Schizosaccharomyces pombe: one gene and its partner. The protein of the gene in region 1 binds, or shares a complex with, the protein of each later gene. Each region holds a gene or a part of one and is shown on either strand. Other genes may lie near its edges. The genes, in order: crb3 and ipi1.

What was found.
Region 2: crb3 (region 1) and ipi1 share a complex: the UniProt entries of both Schizosaccharomyces pombe proteins name them as parts of the RIX1 complex.

What each region holds. Positions count from the first base shown.
Region 1 is NC_003424.3:2,300,528-2,316,215, reverse strand, and holds crb3 (rixosome complex WD repeat subunit Crb3), read left to right. Parts: upstream 1-4,287; 5' UTR 4,288-4,324; coding exon 4,325-4,522; exon of another isoform or gene 4,523-4,644; coding exon 4,645-5,655; exon of another isoform or gene 5,656-5,698; coding exon 5,699-5,830; 3' UTR 5,831-5,945; downstream 5,946-15,688. Other genes in the region: mba1 (respiratory complex assembly protein), read right to left, coding at 83-515, 617-830, 867-1,029; teb1 (Myb family telomere binding protein), read right to left, coding at 1,153-2,026, 2,085-2,167, 2,255-2,470; SPOM_SPAC13G7.09C (uncharacterized protein), read left to right, coding at 3,191-3,598; arb2 (argonaute binding protein 2), read right to left, coding at 6,001-6,086, 6,128-6,218, 6,270-6,502, 6,549-6,606, 6,647-6,957, 7,004-7,190; met16 (phosphoadenosine phosphosulfate reductase), read right to left, coding at 7,687-8,487; acyl-coA-sterol acyltransferase Are1, read right to left, coding at 9,258-10,871; protein Mac1, read left to right, coding at 13,424-15,688. UniProt on the Schizosaccharomyces pombe protein: Required for both pre-rRNA processing and heterochromatic gene silencing. Component of the RIX1 complex required for processing of ITS2 sequences from 35S pre-rRNA.
Region 2 is NC_003421.2:798,471-815,759, reverse strand, and holds ipi1 (rRNA processing protein Ipi1), read left to right. Parts: upstream 1-9,674; 5' UTR 9,675-9,750; coding exon 9,751-9,795; intron 9,796-9,838; coding exon 9,839-9,911; intron 9,912-9,927; exon of another isoform or gene 9,928-9,959; coding exon 9,960-10,082; exon of another isoform or gene 10,083-10,132; coding exon 10,133-11,133; 3' UTR 11,134-11,258; downstream 11,259-17,289. Other genes in the region: gir2 (RWD domain-containing protein), read left to right, coding at 1-318; fil1 (zf-GATA type transcription factor), read right to left, coding at 1,432-3,105; protein mug4, read left to right, coding at 6,905-8,126, 8,183-9,498; RNA-silencing factor Ers1, read right to left, coding at 11,259-11,700, 11,742-11,828, 11,879-12,160, 12,203-12,313, 12,351-12,398, 12,449-13,728, 13,774-14,188, 14,244-14,293 and 3 more; protein Fta4, read right to left, coding at 15,142-15,701, 15,776-15,917; rps1501 (40S ribosomal protein uS19), read right to left, coding at 17,017-17,289. UniProt on the Schizosaccharomyces pombe protein: Component of the RIX1 complex required for processing of ITS2 sequences from 35S pre-rRNA.

The DNA of each region.
Region 1 (15,688 bases):
TCAAAACACTTTTTCACCTAAGTGGATAATAATATAGTCATTAAATTGTTCTCGATGGATTAATTGTAGGGGCAGAAATCCTCTACTCCTTTCCGGAGAAGAGTTGTTTTAAAAACGATTTTTTTGACGGCTTAGCAACAAAAGTAACTTGTCCGTCAGGCAATGTCTTTCTTACTGTGTTTACCGGGGTCGATGGAACAGACCCCCACAATTGCCATCTAATTGGAGAAGTCCACGATCTTTGCTGGATAACAACATTCTCTATATCTGGCTTTTCAATCTTGGGAGAGCCTTTATCCGTTCGTAAAGATTGTAGGGTATGCAGCCGTACGACGGCTTGTACAAAAAATTCTTCGCCTTTCAAATCTGCTTGGGCACGACTCAAATTAAGTAGCTTAGGCTTAGATATGTGCTTTTCAAGTTTCCATATACATTTTGGCTGGTTTAGAGCTTGTTGTTTTAATATTTGAGCAGTTCTCAAGGTACATAATTCCTCTAATTGCTGTAAATCATGACTTAACAACGCTAAGTTAGCAAAACTGAAATGTGATAAGTTTAATGGCTAACGGAAATTCTAAAAAAAGCAAACCAATATTAACGTTACAGAAATACGTACTTAGCAAGTGCCTTGTTGACACCAGAATGAAGTTTTAAAGCATTTTGAATAATTTCGGCGATGCTGAAGTCACGGTCAGGAAAGGTACGCTTAATCAAGAATTGATTTTTTTTTAAATTCCACCAACCGTAGAACAAATATCTCCACCAAAAACGTATTTTTTTAAAAGGATGCAAGAAAAATGATGTATTATCGATAGGTTCAATGTAACATTCTATAGAGTCAGCACTATTATATACACTAAACATACGCAAAAACGGTATATCCATAGGCTTTAATGCCCTTTGACTTATTGCACGAGGAACAGCGCAATGGAAATATCGCAAAAACATAGGATTAACGTAGGTATTTCTGCAAGCGAAATTGATAGCGAACTGATTCACCCAATATTTCTGAGTTCTAAGAACATTCATATTTAAATACTAAAAATATTTAAAAAAACAAAAACAAAATTTAAATGAATAACGACATGCAGAGCGATGGATAAATGTTGTGAGTCAGAGATGAAAGGAAATAATGAGGACGGTACTAAATCACTATCCCCGGTTGTCCCACGGTATATCCTCGGATGAGATTCTAGGAGTCGAGGGCAAAGGTGGAAAAGTATTGAAATCAGTGGAATTCGGCTGCGGCAGAGTAGACGAGTTAAGCGTATTTGAACTTAAGGGAGGCTCCAAATGAAGTGGAGGTTGTTGAATTGAGAAGGGAAATGGTTGGACCGAGTTTTGCGATGTCGATGGGGATATAGGTAATGAAGGAGGTTGGCCTGCAGAAAACAAAGACTCATAAGGGTGAAATGATTGTAATGTGTGATTAAAGGGATCAGACAATGACTGACCCAGTAAAAAGGAATCAGTCGAGTAGTTAGGATTCCGTTGAGATGTAAAAAATTGGCTTGGTAAATTATGATGTGGCCAATCGAGCAGCTCGTCAGATGCTGGCTGCTCAGTGGTTTGCTGTGGTGATGCGTTAGGATTACTAGCAGCTACGGCGGCCACTGCAGCAACTGCTGCTGCTGCTGCCTCCGTTGTAGAACTATCGTTCGGGGTCGTAGCATCATTTACCATATTATTCTGATAATATTTCGATCTATTGCCTGGATTATTCTTAAGCTTAAATCCAGCAGCCGCATATCTTTCTGGGAAAGCATTCCGAAACCTATCCCTTAGATCTGTACTTCGACGATTTTGAAGTCCGAGATTTGCATCTTTACTAATACGAGTCCAGCAAGGACCATGCAGAAAAAAGCCCTCTAATAAACGCTCATCCTCTTCTGGGGTAAATTGCTTTCTCTCCTTTCTAGTTGATTTAGATAAACCTACCGTATGAGGGATTTTTTGAGGCCGTCCCATATGCGTTTTCGCATTGGGATAAAACTTTTTGTAATCTTCTGGTAAAATTGTCCGAAATCTTGCATATACCCATTAGCAATTGATTTAGGCAATGAAAAAAATTTGATCATGCATACCTGTCTTTTAAATCATTGGGAGAACGATTCGTAAAATGAAAACGTTCATCTAATAGTATTTTTTTCCAATTACCAACACCATGCTAGAGACGGTTAGTTTTCGAAAAAAAAATCATTTTTATATATTCAATTACTAATAAAAAGACAATGTCAGTATTGAATTAACATACAATTTGACATCCCCGTAGTAAATCGTTAGTTTCTTTCTCAGTCCATTTTACTCGAGGCTTTCTCACTTTCGTAGGCTTTCTCTCGAATCCTGGAACATCTTGAGCTACCTCCCTTTTAGAGGGATTTTCAGCTGCCAAAATGGACCCATTCAACAAGTCGACAGAATGCTCATCCATAAGATCTGATGAAAACCCTGGAGGTTTCATAGACCTCATGGTCAACTTGATTACAAAAGAGAAGTTACGATATAATTTTTTATGGGGTTTTTGGTTATGTACAAGAAACCTTCAACAATTCCCTAGTGGTGACTCTAATGTACAATTAGATGTTTCAACGCCTATATATATATGCAAATGCCAAGTCAGGAAATCAATAACAAGAAGTTCGTGGCCCCCACATTGGCCACCATAATGTTGAGGTGAGTAAACAAACCAACAATAGGTTAGCTAAAAGACAGTTGATACATCTTTATTTTTTATAAACATAAAAATCTTAAAAAAATACAGGTTATACTGAATAGACATACTCTGAATTGAACTAGCTTAACATTTAATTTTCAAATTCCAGAATGGTAAGATGTTTAAATAACTGACCAGCTTGTACATATAAGCAAAGTAGTAACTAAATGTAGTTAGTATATCAGTTTGGCCTAACGCTAATTCTTAATGCCGTAAGTTTGAAAAATATTAGCTATCTGTTTGTAACTAAGATTCATTTGATGCTTACTGAATAATTCGAATAAATCATGTGTACTTAGCATATGCCTTATTTCAACATTTTACCGTGATGTGGGATCGTGCTGATTTCTCATAGTTTATACACTAGGCAGGAACACCACCACTTCTTAATTCCTGCATCCACACTTTATCCACTTAATTATTGCCAAATTACCTAAATGAAATGATAATAAATGATTTACATTAATAATACTCATCATGGAATCATCACTTGACAGACTCAACTTTGATGAGTTTGTTGCTAAACTGTTAATTCACGAATCTAAAAAAAAGAACAAGTCGTTTGTCGACCATGGCTATATTGAAAAGGAAAAAACAAAACTTCGCCCTAATAAAGTTTTTTTGAATAATATGGTGAGAAATGTTCAATCCCATAATCGTGGAATAAATAATCGGAGACGTGACCAAAAGCGTAAGCAACTCATAAGCATTAAACAAGATAACGATTTAAATGTCTCCTCAGAAAGGTTGTCTAGGAGAATCGATGTTCCTCGGCCCACTAGTAAGAAAAAAAGACTTTATAAAGAAACGCCGGATTTAGATGAACCGGGGTCTCGTGAAAAGCGTGTTAGCCAGAAAGGGCAATTAAAAATTGAGAAAGTTTAATCTTAAATTTTTAATAATGTCTCCCAGAAAATAATAACTATATTTCTTCATTTCTGATTAATCTCTTTGTGTGGTTTCATTTGGGGATTTTATATATCACCACTTGAGCTTATCATTATACATTATACATTTTTATCCAAAAACGAATATCATTTAAAAATATCACGTTCAAATCCTTCAATTCCTATGCCTTTTGATTGAACCGTTTAGTTATTTTTAACAAACTTTAAACGGATGATCCTCATATTGACACCGAAATTTGGCTTAATCTATATTTATACATGCATTAAAATATTGTTACAAATGTTTAAGAATTAAATCAATTCTTCTGTTAGCAATAAAGTAACCTTTTCTTGGTTAATTGAAAAGCATTGCATGAAATCGTGTAGCGAAAATGTAAACATTAAACATATTTACACCACTAAAGTCAGAAATTTTCCAACAGTATAGTCGAAATCAATATACGTTTGATTGGGTACAAATAAAACTAATATAGTTTCCAAACAGCCCATTATATCAATTTGGAAACGTAAATAGCTGACTTAGATAATTTGTCTACAATTATGCTTGCTCTAGAAAATAGAGTAAACAGTCATTTTAACGAAATGCGGTTGAATTCGGTTAATTTAGCAATGTAGTCCAACACGACTTTTCTTGCAAATTTCGCTTTGTTGCTAACATTTCAGTTCAGCGATTTGCGTTTATTCAACACGCATTTCAAGGTTTATGGAGCTGCTTCTTTCTGGCTGTGAAGCTATTGAGGGTGAACCAAGTAATGTTCTATGCCACAATCTACATACCGGTACCCTGGTGAGCACATTCCGTCAAAGCTCACCTGCTAAAAACGCGACATGTACTACTTTGAATCATTTGCTATCTGCTCAACATACCCGTCCACAGCTGAATATTCACAATTTTGGAAAGGTAGGTTCTCTCTGCACTGCATTAGTTGTACGCTTACTTCGTTTATAACAGCAGTTTTACAGCTAATTTCAAGCTAAAGTAGCTAAACACATTTTAAATGAGTAAAACTAATACAAGTGTAGGAAATTTTGGATCAATCAATCATTTTACCTGAAATACTTATTTGTGTGCAATCGAGTCCTTGTGGTTCTTGGCTGGCAGCAGGCACAGAAAAAGGAAATTTGTACATATGGTCATTAAAATCCGGTGCTCTTATTTATTTCTTCAGAGCACACTACCAACCTTTGACCATTTTGAAATTTTCCAATGATGGTATGGTTTTATTCACTGCTTCCAACGATGGTGATGTATTCGCTTGGTTGATAAGCACTTTGGTAGACCAAAACTCTACTTTTGAAACAAGTAATAGTTCAGTTAAAGCGATTTCTCATTTCTCTGGTCATAAGCGTTCTATCGTGTCTATGGAAATTGGCCCTGGTCCCATCGTTAGTGGTCGACTTTACACGGCTTCGGAAGACAACACAATAAGGATTTGGGATGTTTCTACAGGAAACCTTTTGACAACGATTGCTCTTCCCTCAACTCCCAGTTGCATGACCGTGGATCCTTCCGAACGTGTTGTCTACGTTGGTAACGAAAAGGGAATAATATGGATTCCATTATACACAGGATCATCCACTTTTTCTAACAACGTTAAAGAGAAAAAAAGAGTTACGTCTGTTGATAATACTACTATTCCAAACGCCATCGGAGGTATGGGTCGAGTTGTAGATTATAACGACAGTAGAGAATCAAGTATTATATCGTGTCAATCCCCAATAACCACGTTGACTGTTTCCTTTGATGCTTCTCTACTCATTAGTGGTGATAAGGATGGTAATGTTTTGGTTTGGGATAGTGTTTCTCGACAAGTTTTGCGCCGCCTCGTTCAGTATTATTCGCCGGTCTCTTTTCTTCAATGCAAGGTCGACAAGATATCATTTTATTCAAACTCTTCACTTTCTTTTCCAGTTTTAAAGCGCATGATTACAAATGAGTACTTAAATTCAGATGTTCGAATTTGCATTCAAGATGATGGGGTAGAGCAGCTGATGCAACCGGAAAATATTCTCAAAATCAGCTCTGATATTGTCGTATGTCCACTTCTTAAAGATTTTGAACTAACATAATTTTTAGACACAAGGCTCAGAGTCCAGTTGGCGTGCCAAAGCTGAAACCAGTGAAATGCAGCTCAAGGAAGCAAAAAGATTATTTTATGAATTAAAGCAAATTCATCAAGCGTTATGGGAAAAATACCTGCAAAAGTAACTTTTTTTGTTAGGTTAAAAATTTGAATAAAATTATAAGGGATTGGAATAATTACACTTTTGTAGCAACGGGGTTCTAATTGTTGTAGCCCTTTTGTTATAATCTCATTGGAAAATTTTATTAAATATGTTGAATTAATTTTTTATCGTTAACTATTTTGTTCTCTGTCTTCAGCTTTTACTTGTATTAGTGTCGAGAGCAATCATCTCAAGCAAAACATCGCCAATGTAGTCATAGAATTCATCGATATATTTTCCTAACTTGTTAAAATTTTGTTCTAAGTCAAGGTTTCCATACCTGCTGAAAAGTTAGGTATGCCGCTTTCGGTCATTATGCTATTCATTAAATGTCGACAAGGCTCATGTGAAGGGAGATAATTTCGTGCATGCTGAAAGTCTTAGTTATTATTTATTTCCATTTGAAAAGATTATTTTCTCACTTCTATCAGGTAGCTAACATAGTCGGGGTCATGAAGCTCTTCATTAATGCTCATATTCATAATTAAAAGTATAGCTCCCGCTTTGCCAGAAAATTTCTTCCAATTCAAGTCCAAGTAAGAATTCAGCAAATACGATCCATATTCAGAACCCACAAAGTGTATTTTAGTGCTCACTGAATTGGACATTACATAGTTTAACCCTATTGACACATAGCTCTCTGGAGTCTCGACGTCTATTCTTTGTTAAAAATTTCATTGGATATTAGGAATCAATCTTACCTTTTATGATAGATTTTTTAGTGATTTGAAGTCCCTGAGAGGTGAAATAACGGGTTGTCTAAATTTTGGTAAACATTATTGAATAAATTTGCACATACCCTAGGGAAATTAATGCTTTGGTCCCATAATAGCGCAGAGGGAGAAAATATTACAACTGAAAGTTTCTTTTCTGTGCATTTGGCTATTACATCTAGTACAGTTGCACGTCTCACATCGCCTTCGCGCAAGTTTCTATTTGACCAGATTAAGGGGTGCGACATTGACTGTATAATTATAACTATTCCATTTTCATTAGTTTGCCAATTTCGTGTTGCATATATCCAACTATGTGGTTCTGACGGTGAAGATTCCAATGGTATAGATATTCGTGTTAGAAGGGAATTTTGTAAAGTCCAACTGTAAACGTGATCTAATTTCAATTGCAAGTTAACTCCTGAATTAAATGATTACCCTACCAAGTACAGCAAAATAGAATTTTTCGTTGTACTCTTTATCTTTGGTAACTTGAAATTCATATAGCTCATTTGGCGCGTTCAACTTCCTCAAGTAAAAATCGTTGGTAATTTGGAGATTCATGTCTTCAAGACAATTCCCAAAGTTGACGTCCCTTTGGAGTACACGGGATTTCTTTTTCCTAAACATATGTAAGGCCTACTTACCAATAATAAATTACGATAAGTCGGTTAGTAGTAGGTGACATTACAAAATAATTGAATGGTGACTCAATTTTTGTTGTTAAAAAATATATATATGAATTTGTAGATCAATACTACATAGTTTATTCTATATATTTAATAAAAAAAAGGAGGAAAGCATTGTAAGTTCATATGGTTTTAGGTCTTCAAATTTCAACGTATAAACCACTTCAATTTTTTGATAATTAAATCATCTTATTTCTAATATATCTATTTGTATAGGTGTAAACACCGAGAAGTTTCTTCATAGTGTATCCCTAACCTTCTTCGTCACGATAATAATTTAACCCATTTACTAAGAATGTATGCTGAAAACCTTCTCACAATGACCAACTAAAACAAAGAGAAACTCTTGAATTGTCTACTTAAAAATGCCGTATTTTTTCATATGGTGCACTTCGATAACAAAAAAGCAGTTTACAACATTGCACAAAAGGATTGTTTCACTGATCAGCCGTCTCCTTCTTTTTAAGCTCCGCCATATATTGTGCGAATTTACTTTGAGGATGACTGTGTAATCCACATTCTGTTTTCTCTCGACCGCGCCAACGTCCGGCACGTTCATCTTCACCTTCTCTAACTGGTTGAGTAGAGTGCCAGTCACCAACTGATCTGTAACCCTTGTTCAGAAGTTCATTATATGGAACGTTGTTTGTAATAATATAATTATGAACTTCAGTAAAAGACCAGTTAGCCAAGGGGTTGATCTTTAATACTGGTCCATCCAGCTGAACAATGGGCAAAGATCCGCGCTCTCCACCTTGACTACGGCGGCGGCCAGTAAACACAGCAAGTACATTTAAGTCAGAATAAGCACGACTTGCTGGTTCCACTTTGACTAAAAAGTCATACCGAGATTCATCTGTCTCCCAAAGCTTCTCACCAAACTTCTGAGCAAATTCCTTTTCGTTGGCTGCTTCAGCACAACGATAGACGTGAACAGGCACGTTAGGATACTTAGTTTTGACTTTTTCAAGAAGATCCAGTGTTTCTGGGAAATGATGAAGTGTGTTGATAAAAATCAGAGGAACATTCATATCCATTTTCGATAACATGTCCATAATAACAAGCCCGGACAGTCCTAACGCAGATGTTTGAAACAAAGAAGGAAGTGTCCAACGGCACCATTTTAAGATATCTTGAGGACTAAGCTCCGATAACTGCTTGTTGATGTATTCGAGATGTTCTGGGTGAAACAAGGTTTTCGCTTGCAATTTATTAGCAGGCGTATCGATTGAGCTCATATTGAGTACAATAAATTAGAAAAACCAAAATTTGGGACGAAATCAATTATGTCGGCGAGGAACCAATGGTTTAAACCGAAGATAAAAAGTCGAAAACTTTTCAAAAAAACCAAAAAAAAAATTTGAGTCGTGTACGCAGAAAAATTTTACTTACACTTACTTTTATAGTTTTATAGAAGCTATTGGTGTGCTCTGTAAGACTTTTAGAGAATAGTCAGACAGGTTTGGAAAATAATTATTACGGAAGATCTGCATCGATGCTTACAAAGGAAGAGGTAACAAGACGATACCTATTTTAGTTGGTAATAGTAAATTGTAGAAAAAAAGAATAAGATCATTAGCATTTAAGTATAGTTAGTGAATTGTATACTAGAATAAATGAATATTATTAAATGTATCAAATACGAGATGAAAGAGAGAGATTTTGCGCATTTTAATGTTACTACACCGTTTTTTTATTTTTGGTTTTAAATTTATAACTCTAATGAACTAAAAATTTCTCTTTAATTATTTCAATAACGTTAGTCAAAGGTTGATGCACAAATCTTTTATAACGTTTTGTATATTATAGTTAATATTAAAGGTGTGTAATAAGGAGACGAAAAAAATTTTTTATGGTATAAACCTTCGTAAATCCAATATGCAAAAAAAGGGCACTTTGTTTTAAGCAATTAATTTACAACTCCAAGAACCAGAATAAATATCCGACAAAAAGGGAATGATAAGAAAAAGTCTTAGCCTAATAAACCCACCAAACTCATAAACAAATACTAAAAGACAATGTATAAGATACATAAAAATGAAGGACCAGTGAACATTCCAATCCAGAAAAACACATTACCAAGGATATCGCGTTTTTTGAAAGCAAACATTTGTTGGAGGTCATAAAGAGGAATTTGTAATAATTGAAATGTTAATATGTAACACCGGAATTTACCAGTTGCGAGCAGCATCACAAATTCGTGTACAAGAGCGGAAATTAAAAAAGTGAGTAGAACAGCGTGAGATTTTTTTAATTTGAAACCGGAAATTGATGAATGGTAAACATGTCTCATGAGAAAAACGTGGACAGGCTTATTCCATTCGCGCGAAAATTCATCCCATGTAACTGTATTCCACCAAGCACCATAAAATCCACGGTCGGCAAATTTAGTGATTTCAGCAAATGCATTAAGAATGCAATCAAAAATCAGGTAAAACATGATAAGGTAAAGTATGATAGCGGGAAACATAATTTTGTTCATTAACAAGGGAGCAATGCGTAGCTTCCCTATGAAGTCAAGATCTTTGACAGCCACAGCACTTGGAACGAAATACCAATCTACAAGAGCCAAGGTGAGAGCTAGTAAACCGAATGTGGAGCCTGCTTTAAATGCCATATAATGCCAACGGAAATGGGCAACTCTAGGAAACTCCATACTATAGACAAGGGATGGAACTAATAAATAATCAACGTAATTAAAGAAATTGATGTTATCAGGATAAACAACATTGCCCACTTCGCTACGCATCTGGCGTGACAAATATTTTGCTGTTAAAGCGACAATTTCTTCTGCCTGCAATGTAGATATCGTTTCAGCAGGCTTATTGGGAAAAGTCAGTTCAAACGTGTATTTCTCATCTTTCTCGGTGGAATTCAGGCATTCACGAACAAACTTTAAAAGTTTTTCGTATTCATTATGCAATATACGAATCTCACTGATATAGCCCATATGGTGAGAATAAGAAAATTGTTTCATAATTAGAACGGCACAATGCAGCGTGAAGAAAACACATTGAACAATTGGAAAATCTCGATGCTTAACCCAATAGACAGCTAACACCATATAAAAGCCCTGCCACAAAGTTTGGATTGTGTAACCCAAATTAGCCCATCTAATCATGTTCTTCTCAATACACACTTGTAAACCATAACTAAAAAAGCTGAGGCAAATCATAAGGAAATCTGAGCTAAACAACACGAAAAACTGGCGAAAGACCTGTCTAGCTAGTGGTAAACCAAGCAAAGTATCGCGTTGCCAATAACTTCTTGCATATAACTGTAGTACCCATGCAGCCATTGAAAGCCAAAAAAGCACATAAAACCCTCTAAACTCACTTTTTGCGAAATAATTAGGATCGGTTACACGATCAAAAATCGATTTACGAGGCTTAAACTTATAATCATGGTAAACTTTTCCTGCAATTAATAATTGTTTATGACGATCCAGAGGAAATTCAACAACGTTTGCGTTATTTTTATCACCCTTGGATTTGACAACGAGTCGGCATTCGGGAAGAGCCTTCAATAGACTCATACTGGGATGAACATTTGGTTTGTTAATCGTTGTGCTTATATCGCTAAGCGGAGATGGAGTAATCAATATCCTAGGAGTATCTGTCATACTTCAATCGGTCAAGCTTGCAATGAGAAGAAACAAATAGTATTCAAACCAACTAGCAAATGGTGATAAGGAGGTAAGAAAATAAATATTAATGTAGATCTATGAACGTTGATTCTTTATTATTGTTCTGAATATTTTACTCTCTTCGTAAACAACTCTGTTTGAAAATGTTTGTTGAAAAGTCTGAGTTCTGTTTAAATTATGATTCGATCATCCCGTTGGAGGATCAGTACCACTAGTGAGTGCACGTCACCTTCATCTCATTACACCCAAGTTACATGTTCTTTGCTAACTTTAGAAGCAGACGAAGTAAACAAAGCTCTGACTAGTAAAAACAGTTGCAATCCAAAGAAATTGAGGTGCTATTAGAAATAACTTTGAAAAACTTCTCTATTTAAAAGATATTTTTTCCTCATCAATTACTCGGGATTTTCTCACATTTAGTGGACCGGAATATAACCTTTGAGTAGAATGTTGATTTGCTGCTATTGAATTTTACCTAAGAGTGTTTTACCTAAATACACTTAATTCTTTTTCTTATTTTCAATTAATTATTAGCCAAACAATCAGTTGTTGTTTGTCTTGATTAGTAGCTGCAAATTTTATTTGGGAACTATTAACTGGAAACATAATTTCTTTGTGCTCTTTCGAATAGACCGGTTTTCCTCTAGGATCGGCCATTTTGTTTACAGTATGCCGGTTAAATGCCAATAAAAATGTGTTTTCCAAAAGCCTATAATATTTAAGTATCACGTTTACTACTCTTCACCTTGTATAATAATGCACAAAGCATGAGTAAATTGAACTAGTGAACAATTATGGGTTATTTTACTAAAGTTGAATTCTACATTTCAACTAACAAGCAATTGACTTTTCTTTTAACGATTAGCATAAGCTTTTATACATTGCAGCATTATATTGTTTTTGCAACTACTTTGAGTGCAACGTAGCGTCTATGCTAAAACTCCACTTTGTGTCTCTCCATAAAATAATGGTCATAAACTAGCATATTTCCGCTAATCAGACATACTATATTGAAGCATCACAAAGGAAATCACCTCAAAATTAGAATACTTAGGGTGATCGCTAAAACACTATTAAGTATTCATGGCTACAACAGTGTAAAAAATTAGTTAGCAATGAAAAACGGAGTATAGCGGGAAAAAAGCAAAAAAAATAAAATAAATAAATTAAAATTGTTCATTGAATAGTATTTTTATTCTAAAATATCAGCACAAAAAAATTAAGGAAACTGAATAATCAAACAAAGAACTATTCTTAAAGTATGTTTTACCTACTACTCTACCGAGTCATAACTTACTGTTAAATAGTAAATGCCCTAATAGACCAAGAATCCTAATTGCAATCATTCCAAAAGGATCTGATTGAAATATAACTATTCTGCCTCCATATAACCCTTGACTTTTAACAAAATTTACATTAGTAAAAATTTTAAACGATAAAATAAAGCTGGAAACTGGGTAAACAGTAGCTTGACTGGTTTGTTACCATACCGTTTTGATAACGATAAATAAGACATAGAAATTACGATACTACTTTCTTTTTTGTTTATCCATCCTTGCTGAAACAATCTCAATCACATTATATCCAGATATGCAAGTTTTTTAAAACAATCCAACCATCTACTGCCAATATTCCATATGAAAATAGAAATAAGACGATCCAGTCGTCTATTTATGCGATATCCAAAGGATGCAACTTTCCATTGAATGATTTTTTACATTTCAAGTAAATAAAGGCAAAAACATTTGGCAACCGCTATCTTTGTATTGGACTAATTTGGGAATTTACCTGACAACGGTATCCCTTTATTTTGACTATTTGGTCTATCATTTGTTTACTTTCTGCGTCATTATATGTGGATACCATTGGAATTGTAGGTTCGTTGCGCGTTCTTAATATTGTGTGGCTGTGCAACAATGTTTAGCAACCTCTGTTTACACTTTTATCCTTAACCATTCACAGTTTTATAACTTTTGTGAACTAAGTATTTATTAAAGGTATCGAACTTTTAGTTCGACTTTACCTATTATTTACCTCATCTTCCCTGATTTTTTTATACACTCTACTTTTTTTAAAAGAAAAACTACAAAAAAAATTTTGGCATAGTAAAGTAGGTGTTAGATACACTTGGTGATTCAAAACCTTCAAGTCATTCTTTCTTTATCCTAATTGGACTTCCATTATCGCTTTGGGATATTGACTCTCTTTTTTTCCATTTTAATTGCATTTCCCTTTCATTTCTTAATCTTCAAGTATACATAAGTGATTAATTGATTTCACTTAATAAACATTCATATTTAGCCTATTACTGCAAATTTTTTCTGCTCTCTTTTCGGTTTTCTCATTTCCCCCAAATCCCCGAGCAATATTTATTTTAGGCCGTCTTTCTTTTTTTATAAGAATATCTTAACTTTTCAGCTTTCTTTTCTATTTTTTCATTCATCTACTTGCATAAATTATTTTGCCCTTGTGCATTTGAATTTCTTCTTTCGAACAAATACAACTATTAGCAACTTTTCGTGTTCAACATGATTCGCAATACTTTAGCGTTTCTAGCCATTCTGTTTCTTCTGATACCAACGGCATTGTTAATCATTGGTAGTGTGTCGGTGCCTTCTACCCGTATGACTCTGGCTAAAGTCGAAGGTACAGAGTTTGGTATATTCGGCACTTGCACTGGTAATGGAACTGATTGTACCGAGACTTCTTTTGGTTACAATGCAAGCTCTTCTCTAATTGATGATTTTTACTATAAAGGTGATAAGCGCCTAGTTCTTTCCAAAGTCTTAATCACTCATATAATCAGCGCCTTTTTGTCATTCCTTAGTGCGATATTTGTATTTTTTTCCATCTTTTTGGTTAATCAAGCTGTCAACATCATCAATATCATAGTCGTTTTCATTACTACATTACTTACCTGTCTTGCTTTTGCTATTGAGCTGGTTCTCTTCCTTCCTCATAATACTTGGCAGTCATATGTCACCGCCGGAGCTATTGGTTCAGACTTGATCGCTATTTTAGCGCTATGCCTGAGAAGTGTTTCAATTTCTCGTATTGGACAGAAGTCTGCACGTCTGGAACATGTTGATACGATGAACTCATCGTACTCGAGCTACAAAACTGATGTTAAATATCCTTTGGCGCTGGATGACAAGCTCAGTAGTGTGCCCACACTTCCCAAATTTCATGACGCTCTTACATCTACTTCGGAGTTTGGCCCTCCTTCAGATAGCGGTGACACGGTTGGTACTACTCAATATCCAGGTGATATTAAATACGCCACGGGATACGAAAGTACTGTGGCTTCTCCAGTACCATCGCGTGTTGCAAAACTTTCTTCCCGCGATACACCTTCTATAATAGCAGACTATGACGAGTTCCGTAAATCGGAGTCTTCGCCTTCTCGTTCCTCTGTGCTTAGTACTTCTAAACCTGAAGTACATGAAACCGAAGGTTATTGTCCCCACAAGACCGGAAATCGACCTGGCTTTCCTTCCCTTAATATACCTCGTACACGTCCTACCACAGCTGGTATTGCTAACACGCAATTTGACTTGGAACCTTATCGTAATCGTCAAGCTGGCTCAATTAGTAGCGAGGGTACAGATTCTCGATTCTTTGATGTAGAAAATCAAGTTTCTGTTGCTCAAACTCCCAGTGTAAAGCCTGAAATGTTCCCTAAGACTGCTCGCCCTTTTGCTGCCATTCATGCTAACGCTTCATCTACTCAACTTCGTAATACTGAAAATATCACACATCCCGGTATTCCAAATCATTTTGCTAAAACAACTAGTAGTGTTTTTGATGAGCCTCCCGCTACTCGAATGCCTCAGACACGCTCTCCTGTGAATGATCACTCTAGCTTCCCATCGGATTTGCCCATTAAAGGTGAAATGTCTACAAACATGACCGGTGCTCCTAGAGTTGGTTCTAGAAACAATTCTTCAAATGATTTGCATGCACAGGCTGGAATGCTTAAAAACGTTGGAAATGGCCCTAGAAATGCTCCTAGAAACAATTCATCGAATAATTTACATGCTCAAGGTGGAATGCCAATGAATATGCGTGGTCCTAGAGGTGCTCCCAGAAATAATTCTTCGGGCGATTTACATATTCAATCTGGAATGCCGATGAATGGACGAAATGGTCCTAGGGACACATCTCGTAATAATTCCTCTTCAGATTTATATGCACAGAGCGGGATGCACCCAAATATGAATAACGGTCACAGGGGTGCACCTAGAAATAATTCCTCAAATGATTTGCATGCTCATGGTGGTATGCCAGTCAATATGCGTGGTCCTAGGAACACTTCAAGAAACAATTCTTCAAGTGAATTTAATGCGCAAATTCCAATGAATTTACGTAATGGTCCTAGAAACGCATCTAGGAGTAATTCTTCAACTGATTTGTTCGGTCAAAGTGGCATTCCTGGAAATTCCCGTGGTATGCCAACTTCTCCTAACTCCAGAAATAATTCAGCCTTGGATCTCAGTATGCACGGCATTCCACTAGCAAACAACTCTCGCCAATTCAAGAGACCAAGTTATGGAAATATGTCAAGACCTTCTTTTGAGTTAAATGGTAGTCGTAATCCCTCACATGGCAGCCTGAATACCGCCCATGCCGGCATGGGTTATGGTCCTCGCAGTATGATGAGAGACCCTCAAAATTTATCTAATGTTCCCCCTGTTTCAAATACGTTAGATCAGCTTTCAGGCAACGCTGATTTCGAGCTTCCGGTTCGTGGTAACCGTAATAATAGACGGGGACCTGGTGGAAATCGGATGATC
Region 2 (17,289 bases), on another chromosome or scaffold:
ACTAACGCCATTCTTATCGAGCAATCTCAGCGCGAAACACAAGCTATAGAGGAAAGACATCGAAAGGAAGCAGAACAGGAAAATAAAAAATTCCATGGAACGCCAGTAACGGTTGAATCATTTACGGAATGGAAAAAAGGATTTGATGCTTGGCGGAATGAGCAACTAAAATTAGAGCAAGAGTCAAAACTAAAGGAGGCTTTGAGTGCTGCATCTTCGAGTAATGCACGGAAGGCTATATTGGAGAAAAGAATGACAGGAAGAGAATTGTTTGAAAATAATTTGGTCAAGTTGGACGATGTTGAGGGAGAGGCTTAAAGTTGGGTTTAGTTCATCCCGTTACTTTATTGTTGTTTCATCCAAGGTAGGCAGGAACCTTTAAATAAATATAAATAAAATTGGGAAATATAGAAGTTTACTTGAAATCAGGGTTGGGTATTAAATATCTTTTTTGTATACTGCCTGATTTTGTTTTCCATGGCTTTCTTACAATGATTTTCAATCGATGCCGTCTTGCATTCTGCATAACGGTATTAACAATTCATATGTTTTAATATTTATATTATTTTCGTTGTGTAAAGCTAAAAAGCAAGGCTAATGGCAAATATGCCTATATTGTCCTTACACTGTACTGAATCGGTAACAATTGACAAACACGCTTTTATAACATTTTATCAGTGCTTAATTAAATTCAATACATCAATAATTTATTGTTATTTAATTCACCGCTATTTTTGAATAAAGCCAAACTAATTCAAAGAGTATTAATACGTTACTTGTTTCAACAAAGTTTCTTTGCCTCTTACATACAAAAAAATGCTCCACGCCTGCCTACTCGTCTGAGCTTCTCAAAGCTAACCCAGACGGTGAGGTATGGGTAGTACGCTTAAGCGCCATCCATTTTCAGGGCTAGTTCATTCGGCAGTTGAGTTGTTACACACTCCTTAGCGGGTATCTACTTTTAAAACAAACTGCGTATTCGCTAACTAACATTTGCACAACTTAACTTCAAGACTAAAAAAAACTACAAGCTACAGCAACAACATTAAAATGTAAAGAGCACTTAAAAATTGATCAGTCAATTTAATTTCAATCAGTAAGACTAGAAATAAAATATCAAGTGAAATTTTTGTTTATAGTTGCAAAAGCAAGATACAAAAAAAAAGAACAAGAAAAATGAAAAAATAAAAAATTCCAATAAACCCACACATCAACCCTTTATGCCATATCTAATCAAAAGTATATCCCAAATGTGTATTCAAATGTATAGGTTTTAGCTACAAAAGTAATCTTTCAGTACGAAGCGTAGTCTTCAAAACGATTGAAACTTGCAAGCTGTAATAAAAACATAAACAAAAGCTAGAGTAGAAAATAAAAGAGTTTATAAAAACCAAGGTGAAAAAAAAATCAATAGACTCTTAGTAATGTCTTTCAACAAGAGACCGAAAATTTATTCTCTATTTCTTCCTCCTTCTTGACAATAACCGAGTTGTCCAACGAATCAAAAGAGATTTTTGCATGCTCCAACGAAACATCAGCATCGGTATTCGGCATTTTCGAAACAGAAACAGAGTTGGTAAGCTGAGGTGATTCAAGACCCTTTGAAGAGAGTATCTCGGCCATCGTGACGGATTTTGAGAGTACGGGGAATTCTGATTTTACCTCGTCAGACATTCCATCTTCTCCACCAGGGCCCTTACCACGACGACGTCGGGTAATTTTGTTCTTCTTCAAACCAATAGGACGATTGTGGCCATGAAGACGGGCATACAAACCACAAGCGTTACAAACAGTCTGTCCGTGACGATCTTTGCGCCACAACGAAGTTTTCGTAGAAGAGCAATTGGCACACACCAAATTCTCAAGTGCCTTAGATGAGCCTTTGTTTCTAGGAGACAATGGTCTCATAACACCATACTGTTTGTTGTAAAGACCACAAGCATTGCACAAGAAGTTAAGCTTATCTGATGTACGTCTCCATAAAGGCGTTTCAGTGACTCCACAGTTAAAACAGACATGTTCGCGATGTTTCTTTTGTTTCATTACACGTGCTGCCTTACTAGCCTTTTCAGTTTTAACGGCAGCAAGGGGTGTAGAGCCTTTCATTCCCTCTGCTAACGTCGACTTCAGACTGAGAGAAGAAGAGTTAGAGGACAGATTAGGAGTGGAAAATTGGGGCAACTTAAGTGAAGCATCCATGAGTAATGAACGAGCCTTTTCATCTGTTTCAAAGCTTTCAAACGAAAAGAATGGATCAACGGTAGCGATCGAATCGGACAAGCTAGGAACTGAGCCCAAGAACTCAGATTGGGATAGCAAAGCAGAAGACGAACCAGTCAAGGATGAGCTCGATTCGGAGAGCTTCGAGGGAGACGTGGAATCGTTCAGCTCCCTTTTAACAGGCGACTGAGGTGACATGAAGCCCAGATTGCTTAGCTTGCATCCATAGTTGGTGGGATAAGATATGGAAGCAAACGCACGCTGACAATCACCATCAGAGGCAGGGAAAAGAGGGGCTTGACTTTCATCGAAACCAAACTCGGAATCAAGAGCACCAGGGAATGGTGTATCGATTAATGCCGAGCTTGGCGTTGGGATGCAGGGAGTCTGTACATAAGAGAAAGGGGGTGTGGGTTCTGACGTCTTACTGGAAGACAAGGCAGCAATGTCAATATGAGAGTTCGACAGTATGGTAGACTTTAGCAATCCGGAATCACCGAGTTGCGCAGACTCTAAATCAGAACATTGCCTTTGATTGTCGAAATCCATGCTGTCAAGAAGAGACCAACGAGCAGAGGGGTTGGTTTGCAATTTCTGATTATTCTCCGTAGAGTTAAAAGCCAAGGGATAATCAGAAAGCAGTTGCAACATTGAAACCGAATCAAAATCAACATCTCCCTTGCCTGGCGCATTGGCGAAAAGGGCATCCTTATGAAGATCAATGGGAAGATTTGCGATATCGGATAATGCTGTATCAGCGGGGGAAGTGAAAGTAGGGTCAAATTCGGAAAATTGACCGTCAAACGACCCTTCAGTCATAGCCGAAGTAGGGAAAGAGGGCTGACCAAAGGGGAAACAAAATTCAGTAGTATCGTTGTAATTCATGATAACAAAATAATTGGATTTGCTATAAACACACAGACACAAAGATAATTATAAAAAAAAATAGAAAAACAAGGGAGAGAAACGAAATTATAATACCGAATTCAATCACACGCGAGTAATATGTTAGTCACACACAGACAAAAAGTAATAAATGTTTAATGTTGACTTTGTAAAAAAATAAGAAGCATAATGCACTTTGGGGATAGTTAAAAAAAACAATAGACCCGACCAAACGATGTAGAGATTCTAAAGACTCTAAATGTTACAACCAGAGGAAAAGAAAGATATTTGACCGAAATGAGTAAATAATAAAGGATTATTCCAACGAAATTAACTTGCGAGTTACATCATATTGGAGAATTATAAAAAAGAGATAAAAGGAAGACGATTAAAATAAGAGAGAAAATTATTTAATCAACCACAATAGTAGAAAAGATTAACCGAAAAATACTAAAAAGATATTCGATAAACAAAGAGATAGGAGAAAAATTTTGGTAGAGGGATAGAAAACCTAAAGCAAAATTAAGAAGATAAAAAAAATGAGGTGAAAAACAACCTACGATAAATTCTCAATGAGACAACATTTTGAATGATTTAGGAGAAAAAGACTTAACGACGACACGAGGACGAACGAAGCATGCTTTGTAAACGTAATATTGGGGGTGGAAACAAAAGATCCGAAACAACAAAAACAACCAGTATATTCGATTTCAACAAGGAAGTAAAATCAACTTAAAAAAACGAGGACTTTATAGATAATTTAACACATCTTGGGAAAAATTAAATCTGAAAAGTAACTAGAAAACTGAGGTATGTAAAAAAAAATATGTCAACACTAAATGGAGTAGAAGACAAAAAAATAGAGATTTAAAAGCTTAAAATAAATGTAATAGACGATTTACGAGATCAGGATGTTAACGCTGTACTAGTAAAATTGTGTGGTAGTTGTGGTGTTGTTGGTTGTTAGTAAGTTTGGTGTAGTGGTAAAATAAAAAAGGAAAAGAAAAAAACCGGCGGCGCAACGAGCTCTTAAATAGGAAGAACGTGACAAGAAAGCCACTACGTAGTCAACATTCATGCAGCTATTATGGACAGGTACGGCAACTTTTGATTGGTAGAGAGAGGAGGCATAATAGTAGGGACAGCGCCTTATCAGAGGGCTTATCGAACGATCGGGGTGACATCGGCCCCAAAGCTTATCGCATCTAAGTCGCTTTGTAAGTGGTGGGAAAAACATTAGATAGCCAATCAAAGATTGCAAAGACTTGAAAGCAACACCCAGGCCAGCACGCAATGAACCATCGTTCAAGTGCATTAAAGTATATAGCGAAAGAGAATGGAATGCAGTAAAATCAACCGGCTGTGGAAGTGAGTAGCGCCGATATCGCTATATAGGAAGTGTGGGGGTGTATATATAAAATGGGGGCGAAAGGGTTACTATAGAGACAAATAGACACGAGGTAACTAAGTAAGTAGGTAGGAGAAAAGCGAATTAACAATTTGAACTTGATAATAAAATAGTTGTGTATTTCTCAGTCAATTTAGAATCAATTGAGGAGAAAACTACATGATCATAGAAGGGAAAGAAGGAACACAGCGAAAGAAAGAAGCGTTAAACAATAGGAATGGTTCTTTTTGAACCGATTGTTTATAGAAATAATAAAATGAATGTTATGATGTGAATGTATGAGTGGAATGTGGATGTGAATATGAATATGAATATGAATATAAAAGAAGATGTAATTAAAAAGTAGGATTTGGAATTTTTCACAACAAAAACTCGATTAACTGTAAATGTCGAGTCCTATTGTTGGTTAAAAAGAAAATTACTTAAAAGTCCTTTTGTAATAAATTCTACTCTTAAAAATTAAAACTGTTTATGCCTTATTATTACACATGTGTCCGACATGCCTTGCCTGTCCAAAATGCCTTGTCTACTATACTTTTCTATACTCAGTCTAACGCATTTACTTTCTCTGCCTGCAACCTTTCTGACCCGCTATAACGATAGTGACTGTATTCGTTTAAGCTTAGTTTCCGTGTTCCATCATCAATTGTTAAGCTTATTTCCGCAAATACACTCGCTCTCGCTATTTAAAGAATTTTCGGATTTTTTCGGTCTGCGCAGTAGCGACTATGAAGGCAGCAGAAGTACATTCCTACCGGAGAATGAGTTCCGTTGGTATTACACACGGAAGGCAAGTGACAAGGCTAGTGAAGGATGATCGATTGATCCTATTTCTCGGGTTGTAAAGGCCCCAAAAATAGAGTGTTACAAGAAAGTAATGGGCCTTGCTTTGTGCGTATTTTTGTTATTCAACATGAGTTTGCTATAGCATGAATTTTCTCTGAAATGCGCATACTAAATTGCAAAACTTGTTTGATAAAAGTGCAATACACTTATCATAACGATGTTGATGAGTAAATGAATGTTGCGCATCACTTGACAGTAGCAAAGTGCAATTATTGGTTTGCGCAACGTTGTTTTGTTCATTTCGCCAACTTTGCTTATTCACACCGGTTCTATGTTCAGGCATTTTGTTGGTCGTTGGTTACTAGAGGAAAAACTGTTGTTGTTGATACAAACAGAACCCAATTGTCCTTCAACCCAATCGTTTCTCAATGTTTACATGGTCAAGGTTTGTAGTGGAATAAATGGAATGGGCTGGGATGAAAGGAAATTAGCACGTGGAAGTGTAAACACATGATTTTTCAGCAATCCCGCTAATGTGATAGGCTTGGGTGAGAAGATGAAAGAGAAATAAAAGAAATAATCGTTCATCAATTCGTTCAACAGTTATAAAACAACCCGACCAGATAAAGTATTTGAAAGATTGGAGTCATTCAAGAAAGCGTAAGGATTCGAGATTGGAATCGTTGGAGAGATAGAAAACAAAAAAAAGTTTTGCTAAGCAACCATTGTATAAAATTTGAAAAAGAATTTTCCTTTGCTTTTTGTTTTTTTCACTTAGTACAAGTAAACAATCTCTTCCATTGAACCAAATCGTCCATCCTTTGTCAGCACGACCCTTTGCATCCCTCTCTATCCCTATAACGATAATCTTTCACTACGCTGTCCTTGTCTAGGATTTCTGTTGCTGCTAATCCTCGCTAAACATGCAATAGTATTAAAAGTTGTTGAATGACATCGTTATTTTACACAACGAATCATAGCGAGATCATCGCTGCTCATTGTCGTAAGCAGGCCAGGTGTGTTCATATTATAATTGTATCGGGTAAATGCAGCCCATGTAAACAAAAGAAATACGCTTAAAAGGGATTAGCTAGAAGAGAAAAAACCACCAGAACTAAAAACCAATAAAATAAAATAAAAAATCATTGTTTTTCTATTTCTTTCAGTTTCACCTTCTCGTTACTTCCTATCGCCTACTATCCATCTACCCACTGCCCACCTACCAATCTTCGGTCGGCCTCGTCTTCACCCACTTGTTTTTGTTTCATTCCCCCTGCATACACCCCATTTTTTTTATTCAATCTTTCTTTTCCTTTTCTTTTCTTATTTTTGGCTGTTTATTGCTGCTGTTTCCATTCCATCATCTGCTGGCTCTTTCTTTGTTTACATGTGCTATACTGATTGCTTCTTTGTCTTGCCTGATCTCCAGTACCACATCATTTCTTTCTTTTTACATCTCTTTTCTTCCTAAACCCATTTGTATGCAGCTCATGAAGTATTTCCTTTTTCCTTCATTATTCATTCATTACATGAAATAAAGTGCTCGTTTACCTGCTTTTCAATTCATTTGCTGATTTGATTTGCGCTTCTTTTTTATTTTTCACTATGACCCCACCGTCCTCGTCTTCTCATTTCCCTTCCCCTTCTAGCGCCAACAATGATTTTCATTCCTTAAGCCTTGAAGCGCATGGCTCCTTGTCCGACAAATTCATTTCTCAGTTTCGCTTAAACTACACAATTATACCCATTGCGCAAAAATCTAATATCTCTTTACCCTTCCTAACTTTGTCTCCATGCTCCTTCACCATCTGTTCTCTGCGAGCCCGTTTACATTCTCTGCATGGCCCATCCACAGTTTTTTTAAAGCGTGAAACTTCCCAAATTAGCGCTCGCGTAAATGACGAAAACGGTTTTACTGCATCTCCCAGTTTTTTTAGTGTTGATTGCTTCGACGAATTATTTCCTACTCTGTCGACTACCGATGAGCAACCAAAGGAACCATCTATTATTTCCATTTCCAGTAGTTCTTCTGACCCTAGTTCCTCCCCTCCTCCTTCTTCCTCCCTTTTAAAAACTCCCGACAATGATTTTTGTGCTCGGCCAGAAACGTTTGTAAAATCAGATACCGCCGATATAAAGCTACAAATACATCAGAATAATCTCGTTTTAACATTCCTGGATACAACGACTGTCTCGAAAGTAAACATCGTGCTAGAAATTCACATCCCAGTGCTTCGTGACTTTGTGACGTTTGAACAGTATATTCCTTTAATGTTTTTACCGTCACCATTTGAGACGATTCTTTCTTTTGATAATCTAAAATCGGACAGTCCCTCTTCTGACTTACATTTAGGTTGGGATCATACTGTTTCCAAAGAGTCAATGTCACAATCTATTGCTGAAGTCCTAAATCCTTACAACAAAGGTGTTTCTCGCTCTTTGAATGACGCTACTAACATGGAGACTTATCACTGGTCCCCTTTTCCTCCTCAATTTTCAACCTTTAATGATAATGCTCTTCGCCTTCGCATATACTACAAACCGAAATCTTGGCTTCCCAAAAATTCTAGTTGCTCGCTATCTGTAGACGTGAAAGCTACTTTGCTTGAGACTACCCCCCCATCATGCGAAGTATCCTATAATCTACTACTAACGTGTCGCTCCTCTAACCGTTTTCGCCTTTTTCCAGCTTCTACTCCTAACAGTAATGGTTTATGTCGAAACGACTCAAAGTGTCGGTTTTTAATGATACTTCCGGAAACCATTATTAAATCTCCTTCTTCTTTTATTGGTGATTCATATAATATTGCAAACATTGATCCACCAAGTATGTAACTTTTTTCCTCCTTTTCGCTATCAAACTACTAACACTTTTCCCGATAGGCTCTATGAACGTTCAATCGTCAGAATTTCGTGTAGGTGAAGTGCAGTCTTTTACTACAAACACATCATCCTTCGCATTCACATTCAAGGAAATTGTACAGTTGGGCTCCAAAGCTTCTGTACCCATGATTTTGTTCCCCGCCCCTTCTAACTATAAGCTAACGATAGAAAAACCTCCTTTCCCATGCGATTTAACAATACCTCATACTGCTATAAATGACTCTTGGCTTCCTATGAAGTTGAAAGAGACGAATGCAATTTCTTACTACAGAAAAACATGTTCCTCATGCAAGTATCCTTTCCAATTCTTTATTAATAAACTACCATTCTACCAAAGTCCCTCACTACCCTTGAGTGCTACTTATGTTTGGATTGCTTCTGCTCTTTTGTCAGTTCAGCCTGGGAACGGCTCCTTTAACATAATGCTTAGCCTGAAATTTGTTTCCTCAATGAAACCGGGAACTGAGCTGTTAACTATTAAACAACCAAAGTCTTCACTTTTAAACTGGGGGCTAGTTAATGGCTATCCTAAAACTGAAGGAAGAATTGTTCTTCTTCCTCGCAACGACATTGTACTAATTCAAGCTGATCAACCTACTTCGGTTTTTGATTTATGTTGGACTATTAAACCAACCTATGAAAAAAGCTCAAACTTTTCTTGCTTACAACTGCCAATTCCAGTTTTAAATACACCCATACTAACGCCAGTGACCATTAATATACAATCTACCACTTATTATCTAATTGGATATGCCAATCAAAATTCTAAAAAAACTCTAGATCAACCCACTAGCTTATTAGTACTCGGCTGCAAAGCTAAAAACGTTTCTGAACTAATACTATCTTATCTACCGGAAAAACCTATACCTGATGGTGCACCTATTGTAACTAATGTCGTTGAAACTAATAAAACCAATGAAGCACCTTCGAGTTTTCGAAAGTGTTTGCAGCAATTCCTAGTGTTTCTGACTTTTACGGGGATGACACTTTTTATACTTTATCAACTAACATTTCCTTATGGTGTCGCTAAAGACAACAGTTCATTTATTGATACTCCACTGCCTCATAGTTGTGAAATGGAAAAGAGTTTAAATGTATTACAGCATAAAGTTTTGCAACTGCAGGCAGTGAATATGAAATTACATGATTACTATGAAAAAGAACCAACTGAAATTTACAAAACCGTATCGGTTACTAGCACTCAAATAATGCCAGCTGTTACAAAAATGTCATCATTCGAACTTGAAAGGGAGCAATTTCATAAGGCATTTGGATTTTTACGGCTAAATAGGAAGAAAGATGACAATGCCAACTAAACATTAATTTTTTCAATCATCAGCACACTTTTTTAATCGTACATACAAAATGCAAATCTTTTGATTAAATTGAAATTTTTTATTAATGAATGTGTTGTTGCAAAACGACTTGGATTAACAAATCGAAAATTTTCTCATTTCATTACATTAGGCACTACTCACATTTTCTACATTTTGGGTACTCCACCAAACGTAACGTTGTCTGAAAGTACGAAGTTTAAATTGTACAATTAATTCCACAATATATTAAATATGGGTAAATCAAAGAAAGCAAAAGCTAAAAGAGCTGATTTTAATGTAAAATTGTTGTCGGAAATAGCTGTATTAACTGATTTTTTAGAAACAAAAACTCAAGGTGGGAAAATCAAAAAATGCACCAAATAATTTTACCGATACCTCATTCAGAACAAAAAGTATGAACAAAAGGAATTTTTATTCAAATAACTAACCTAAACATCTAGCGCTCGTACTTCCAACACAGGCAGCTTTAGAAAAGGAGGATTTCAATACAACAGCTAAGGATCAGGCGTACTTTGCACATCTTTTAGGAATGTTAAAGCATCATAATGCCAATCAACGGCAGGGTAAGAGAAATTTTCTATTAACTTATGCATCTTTTGCTAACATGTTAAAGAGACGTTGGAAAAGCTTACACAATATGTTTTATCTCATACAAGCATTTTGACGACGTCGACAGCGCTGCTGTTAAAGTTAACATCGCCTTTGATACTTGATGAATCCTCATCGGTACGAGATTGTCTATATCGATTTCTTGAAAAATTTATATATATAATGGGGCCAGAATTGCTGGAACCGAACATTGGAATGATATTTCTCTACACACACTCAGGGATGACTCATATTACTCCTTCAATACGGAATGACTCTACAAAGTTTCTCTCCTTACTCATCAATGCTTGTAAAGATCGGCTAAGTTCCTCTGCAATTTCGTTACAGTGGAAGAAAACATTAGAGTGCTTTACAAACCTTCTCGGGTGGAACTCAGAGAGTGCCTCTGTGAAGAGAACAACTAGCTTTTCAAAGAAGTCTTCCGCTAACATGATAAGACACCTAACTGTATGTAACGATTTTTTACAATTGGGTTTGAACCCTAAGTTACAAGCAAAAAATCAACAATCATCCGTTCATTTAAAGTATCCCTATTTGCAACAATGCATTGTAATACATCCGAAATACGAGGCGTTTAGATCTCCTTGTTCATTTGCATATTTGTCGCTATTCAATCCAAATAAACACGATCTTGTCGATAACCCTACTTTCCGTTGGCAGACAATATATCCTTTAATACCTGGAATTATAGAATTCATTAGAAACTCGTGGTCTGACGCTTGCCCAGTTGTTAAAGATGGATCCAACTCTCCGTCTGCTTCAAAAGTTTGTAGAACGGTTTTATCGATGCTTGGATTGTTTACTGAACAAGTTTTCAGTGTAGCTGATGAACCCAACAATCATAGGAAGAAAATATCTCAAGTTTTAAGAAAAATAAATAGGGACATAGAGTTGATAAATATCAATTATGGAACAGATTCCGAATGGAGAGGTGTATTGAAAGGATACGATAAATTGCGCGAGCGTGCAGTGGAATTGGATGCATTGGAGAACCCGGGTAAATGAAACTGACTCTATATGTTTCGTTTTAAATGGGTCCTCGCATTGTTTTAATTTAAGAATTTGGTTTGAGGGGTTATTTATGTTAAGTGGTATAAACAAAATTGATATTAACGCATAAATAAAATTAATTAAATAGTAGGGTGTATCCCCCCTAATTGATTCACCATAATAATTGCTGCAGTATACAAGTCTGAAACATTCTCAGTAATAGCCCCACCAATGAATTGTTTATTTGCAAGTTTCCACGGAGCCGTTTCTCCTGCGCGTATACTGTTATTATATTTGAACTGAGACTGCATGTACACACTTTGTATACTTAGACTGAAACAGGATTCTATAGGTTTGCTTTCCTTGGATCTGTCGAGACAAACGAAGGCTTCTTTGGAATTAATAGATGACGGGCTAATGTCATAGCTCTTAACTTTTGAACATTTTAATATAAATTCTAGAGAGTGAGGGAGTAAATTTTTGTTAAAAGGTACAGAGTTTTCATTAATTCTTGTGACCGAATGAATTATTACTCTGTCTTCCATATTTCCAAAGACTAACAGTAAATCCTTATTTACGTTTCTAGTCAACTGATTAGTCGAAGCTTTCAGAAATTGACATACCTAAATCTAATACTTTTGGAGAACTCTGTAAGTATCGCATCATTTAAAGGGACTTTCGTTTCGATACGTAGACGGGAATCCCATAAGCTATAAGTCATGATTAGTTGTTTTTTTCCTTAAAAACATTCATAACATACGCTAAAGGAAAATTGATAGTGCAAGTAGAAGATTGCTTAGAATCTTTATAAAACGCAAACTGATCTAACTTTGAAGAACAAATCATCGAAAAAAATACAGTGGAATCCTCTGTCTTGTTTCTCTTATCATCTGTAAATAATAAACTTCCCTTGAAAACAAAGTAATTCTTTGAATCTAATACTTCATGCTCTATTAAAGGATAAGTATACTCAGTACGTCCAAACAAAATTTTCACAGGAGTATTCAATAATGAATCGATATTCGAAACTGATTTGGTAATGCTTTATAAAAAGGTTAATATAACATATGAAGACTCAACCTACCAGTCTGCAAAATATGATCGGGGAAGATTCAAATCCTTATATATATTCATAAAACCATGTGAACAAGCCGACACATCTGATGAGATATTTGGATATAGTATGACGCCAAACCTGTTGGATTAATATTTATTCAAAAATAAACGCATACTCTAAATTCAATTCAATTTCACCTGAAAAGGATTGAAGTACATGCAAGCTAAACAAAGTGTTAGACTTATGTTTACATATTTAGTCAATACCACAGACCTTCTAGATAACCATCTGTGCAATGATTTCAAATTCATGTTGTCAATCTCTTCGTGATTAATGTATTTTTCAGAGCATACTATTTTTGGTTGAAATAAGTATAAGCTTCCCACACCGTAGCTTGATACCGGATTGGAAGACATTAGAATTGTATAATAGTTGTCACCAAGGTCGTCCATTTTCTCATCTTGTAAACGTAAAAACTTCATGTCAATTGAAGGAGTTAAGCTGCCAGATTTTGGAGTGGAACAATCTGATCCTTTGTCAAGCTCTAAACATTCTACACTTAATAGGTTTTTAGACTTTGAATCGTCGAAATCCAATTTTGCGCAATTTTGTCGCAAAGATTTATGAACATCATTAGCGTTAACTTCATTAAATTCATTTGAATTGACCAATTGAAAAGTCTGAGACTGTTTAGTTATTGCTTCGTCAACAGTATTACCATCCGAAGAAACAGAATATCTAGTAACCAGCTCTTCTTCAGGTTCCAATGGTAAAGTATTGCTCGTAGGTCGAGGAGGAAGCTGAAATTTGAACCGAGGAGGCTGCTTGCTATTAGACTTATTAATTGAATGCTCAATTGCAGTTGTTTTATCTTGGAAATGGGTCAAAGATGAAGTTCCTAAAATTTGCTTATCAATCGTGGGTAATTTATTCAACTTGTTCATAATCATTTCTTCAAAATTTGACGGATTATTCTGGTTAACAACAGGATCAACTGCTCTCCTTCCTTGATGAATTGAATTATCAGATAATTCGGTTGACGAAGAATGAAAATTTGACGGCTTTTGTAAGACTGGGATCGACAAATTGGATGAAGTTTTATTTAACTCGTAAAATCTGTGCGCTGGTTTCGGAGAAGAGAAGTTTAAAGAAACACCTGCAAATATTTTACATCCTATCAGCTTTATATCATCAGAAAATATTTTAAAATTATCATTACAGGGAGGGGTTTTGGAAGGATTTTTAGCAAAAACTGGTACCAACTCATAAGAATCACCATCATGTTTATTTCTCAATAATCTCATAGTATAAAAAGATCCAAGGATATTGAAAACGCTTTTGAAAATAGATGTCGTATGCATAGCTGTGTATAAAATCTCGTTTTCAAATTTTAATTTTAGAAATTTCAGTTGGCAGGGTGCAATCTTTCCTGCATAAACAAGAGTTTCTTCAGGATATTCATAGACTTTCTGGGACACTAAATTCTCTATATGCTTCATTTTCTCCAACATAGCATTAATGTCCTGATCGTTATTGGCTAATACAACTATTTTCTAGTCAAAAGTTAGGATGGTAGAAGTATCTTCACAAATACATACATTATCTTTTAAAGAAGCCTTGTATTTTGTGTTGGTAGCATGCGCAAACTCCTTGAGCAAATCATTATTGTCGGGAAGGTAAAATAATCGCTTGAAACTCCCGTTGTAAACAGTAGGCGAATAAATGACCTGTTTAAAATTTCCTTCCCATTCAAAAGGAGTAATGATTTTAGGTTTTATCAAGCAAGGAATATAAAAATCGGAGGATGTCGGTTTCTTGCCCACTTTAGACTTAACAATGTCCTCATTTTCTTTTATTTTCACATCTTCAATACCGTATCCTAAGTCTAAGTACCTTTGAAAATTCAATAAAGTAGTAAAATCATAATGCAATTGCCCGAATGGATGAATATCTAGGCGTGGTTTCTTGTAAACAGTTGATTCGCGCTTCAACTTTTGAACTATTTCCTCAAAACTAGCATGTTAATTAATATTTAAAATAATATTTAGGATGAACGCATGGAACTTACAGACTAAACGCTTCTCTTTTGTGTTCCTCGTACACTATGACTTTGAATTGCTGAATTATTAGCGTCAATAGCTAGGATATATAAAATACCTGAGATGAAGAAGAGTAAGAAATTTTTACTTTTCCATTATATTCAGAACTATATCATCAGTAATAGTCCATTTGCGCAAAACCATACTTTATACAATTTGTGAAGGAGGATATAAATTCAGCATTTAAAAGCAACGCTGTATCGATATAAAATTTAAAAAATCCTAATATTAGCAAAAGAATGATACACATTGACTTACCAGATTGATTGTTTGCAGATACTTTACCCATCACTCATTTCATCGAGCTTACAGATGGTACATGCTATATGCAGCTTCAGAATATAAGTGAAGTAATATGAATTCATTAGGAATATAAAGCTTTATGAATTATCAGAAGAAAAGAAAAATAATTAAATCTATAGTTCCTTGTATGTAGGTATTATAATTGTGATAAAATTAATGTTAACGTACTTACAATCGAGAGCTGAGTATTTGAATTATAAGCTGTAATGATTCATTAAAGGTTAGAAACACTGTAAACTAAAAAATAAAACTAAGACAATTGTTAAGAAACGTATTTTGTTTAGCGGACACTCATTTGTAAATAAAAATGTGTTGTCTTATCAACTAACTTAATGCCTCCCAAAGCTAGGAAATCATTAACCAATAAATATCTGAACGTAAAGTAGAAGCTTCAAAGTTATTTCTATAGCCCCAACATTTCTAGTAGAGTCAATAAAATCCTTAAACCAGGAAATAAGGCACCCTCTCCTCCAATTAAGTATTAGTCATTATTTCAAAAGCAGATGATGAGATGCAATAGGAGTTCATGAACATCATTCCCTCTCAATTTCTACGAAAAGTTTTTTAATCATCAGAAATAGTTTTTTCGAATAATTGGCTTCTGATTTCGTCCTCCAATGACGCTTCCTGATTGTCATTGTTTAAAGAAGGAAATGAAACCCCTCTGAGAAGAGAATTAATTTTAGCTACCATGGTGTTCGTACTGTTGAGGGTTGATATCAATTCAGGGTTTTTCTTCCACATATTCGTATGTATTGAAGAAGGCCCATCTTCAAAAGGTTCCAACATTTTTTCGATTTGCTCAAGTTCAGAGCGCTCCTGTTCTAATTCTGACAACGTTGTTAATAGACCAAGTAACTCTCCCGTAAGACGATTGAACTTCTCTTGCTCCTCATCCTTTTCGACAGGTCGGGATTCTTTTTGAAAAGGCCATGGATGGGGAAGTGATTTTACACTGTCTAAATTGCTTAAATCAATTTCTCCATAAAATAATGGATTTAAAAAGGTAATGTCCTCAATAGCGCTATTTTGTTCATATAACTTTCGTATTTGAGCGGCAACATGCTGAGTTGCTTGATGTGAATAATTTAGCTTTGCATGCTTTTGGATACGAAGTTGCAATCCTGTTTTGGTTAATAATAATATTTTGAACTTTTTATTTGTAGGAGAAATCCAGACAAAAGCATGGAACACGTACGTTGGAATACAGTTTCAACGACTGATTCTGAAAGCTGACCGGATTTTAAAGGAAGTTTCCAATCCTTTGGAGGGCGCATAGGTCGGTTCAACAGCCGTATCTGTCGTTCCATGAATGATTTTTTATGTTCGTAAATATCCATTTAGGAAGTAAATTTGATTTAAATCAAGATTATCAGGATTAAAATAAAAACAGTTGAATACTGATCGAAAAACAAGTCAATATGGTATTGAAATTAACAAAGCAAGTTCACGCAAAGGCAACAAACTAACAGCGACTTTTGAGCATATAGACGTCTTCAGTGTAAGCACTTCCAAAATTAATTACTTAACAAAAAAAGACCAAATCAATCAGACCTTGGCTGATGGTTGATTAATGACAAATTTTGAGAAAGTTACAGGAGACTAAAGAAGTCGAAAAGTCGAGCGACTAAATAGAATACTTTGAATGATGTTAAAATGAAGATTTTATGTACATAATCATTAAGCTAGCTCCTTAGAAAGGACTCGTCTAATGCGAGTTAAAAAATTAGTGCATATATCAGTTCTAAGATATAGCGAAGAGAGTAATATTCTATGAAGGATGAACCCTAGAGTATAGTGTATTGTGAAGTTGACCTAGGATATACCATTAATATTGAATAGCATTAAACATATTTATTTATCCTTAAAACTAATAGCTTACAAAAAAATTCAGATTTACAAACAAGCACCCAGAATTGGTACATATACTCTACGGTGGTAAAACGTAAACGAAAGCTTGGTTTTTACAATGTAGTACCATTTAGGTTATTTCGAGCTAGTTGAGAAACAAAAACAAATGATGGTTTCCAAAATATAATGATAAAATATTCTCATAGGTTCACTAGCTAGATGGCAAGCCAAGAGTGGGACAAGTAGCTTTTGTAAAACATCATGAAGCTAGCAATCTAATCGTAGCTGTCAAATTGCAGATTCAAGTGTCAAGTAAATCAATATGTCCGGCTCTGTGTTACACTTCCATGCTCCTTCAACTATACACACTCGTTACTTTACAAATACAAAAATTATCTGTCTGTATTTCTCTTTACATAATTCATGTTTACGAACACGCAGCTCTACAACTGTTACTTTCACTACCAAATTTAGATATCTTGAAAAAACCTAGGTTTTTATGCGAATGTACAACGTTAGTCCAAACAAAGAAATTATTGAATAAGATAGAAGTGAAACCATCCATTGAACCCGCCTTTTTGCATCTCTTTACTTAAGAGGAATGAAACGAGAACTATGAGTGGCACCAATACCGGGACGACCGTGCTTAGTAGGCTTGTAAGTGATAGAGAACTCACCCAAGTAGTGACCAATCATTTCAGGACGAATCTCAACTTGGTTGAAGAGCTTACCGTTGTAAATACCAACGACAGAACCGACCATCTCGGGAAGGATGATCATGTTACGCAAATGGGTCTTAACAGTGGCGGGCTTCTCATTAAGAGGAGCTTCAGTCTTAGCCTTGCGGAGCTTACGGATGAA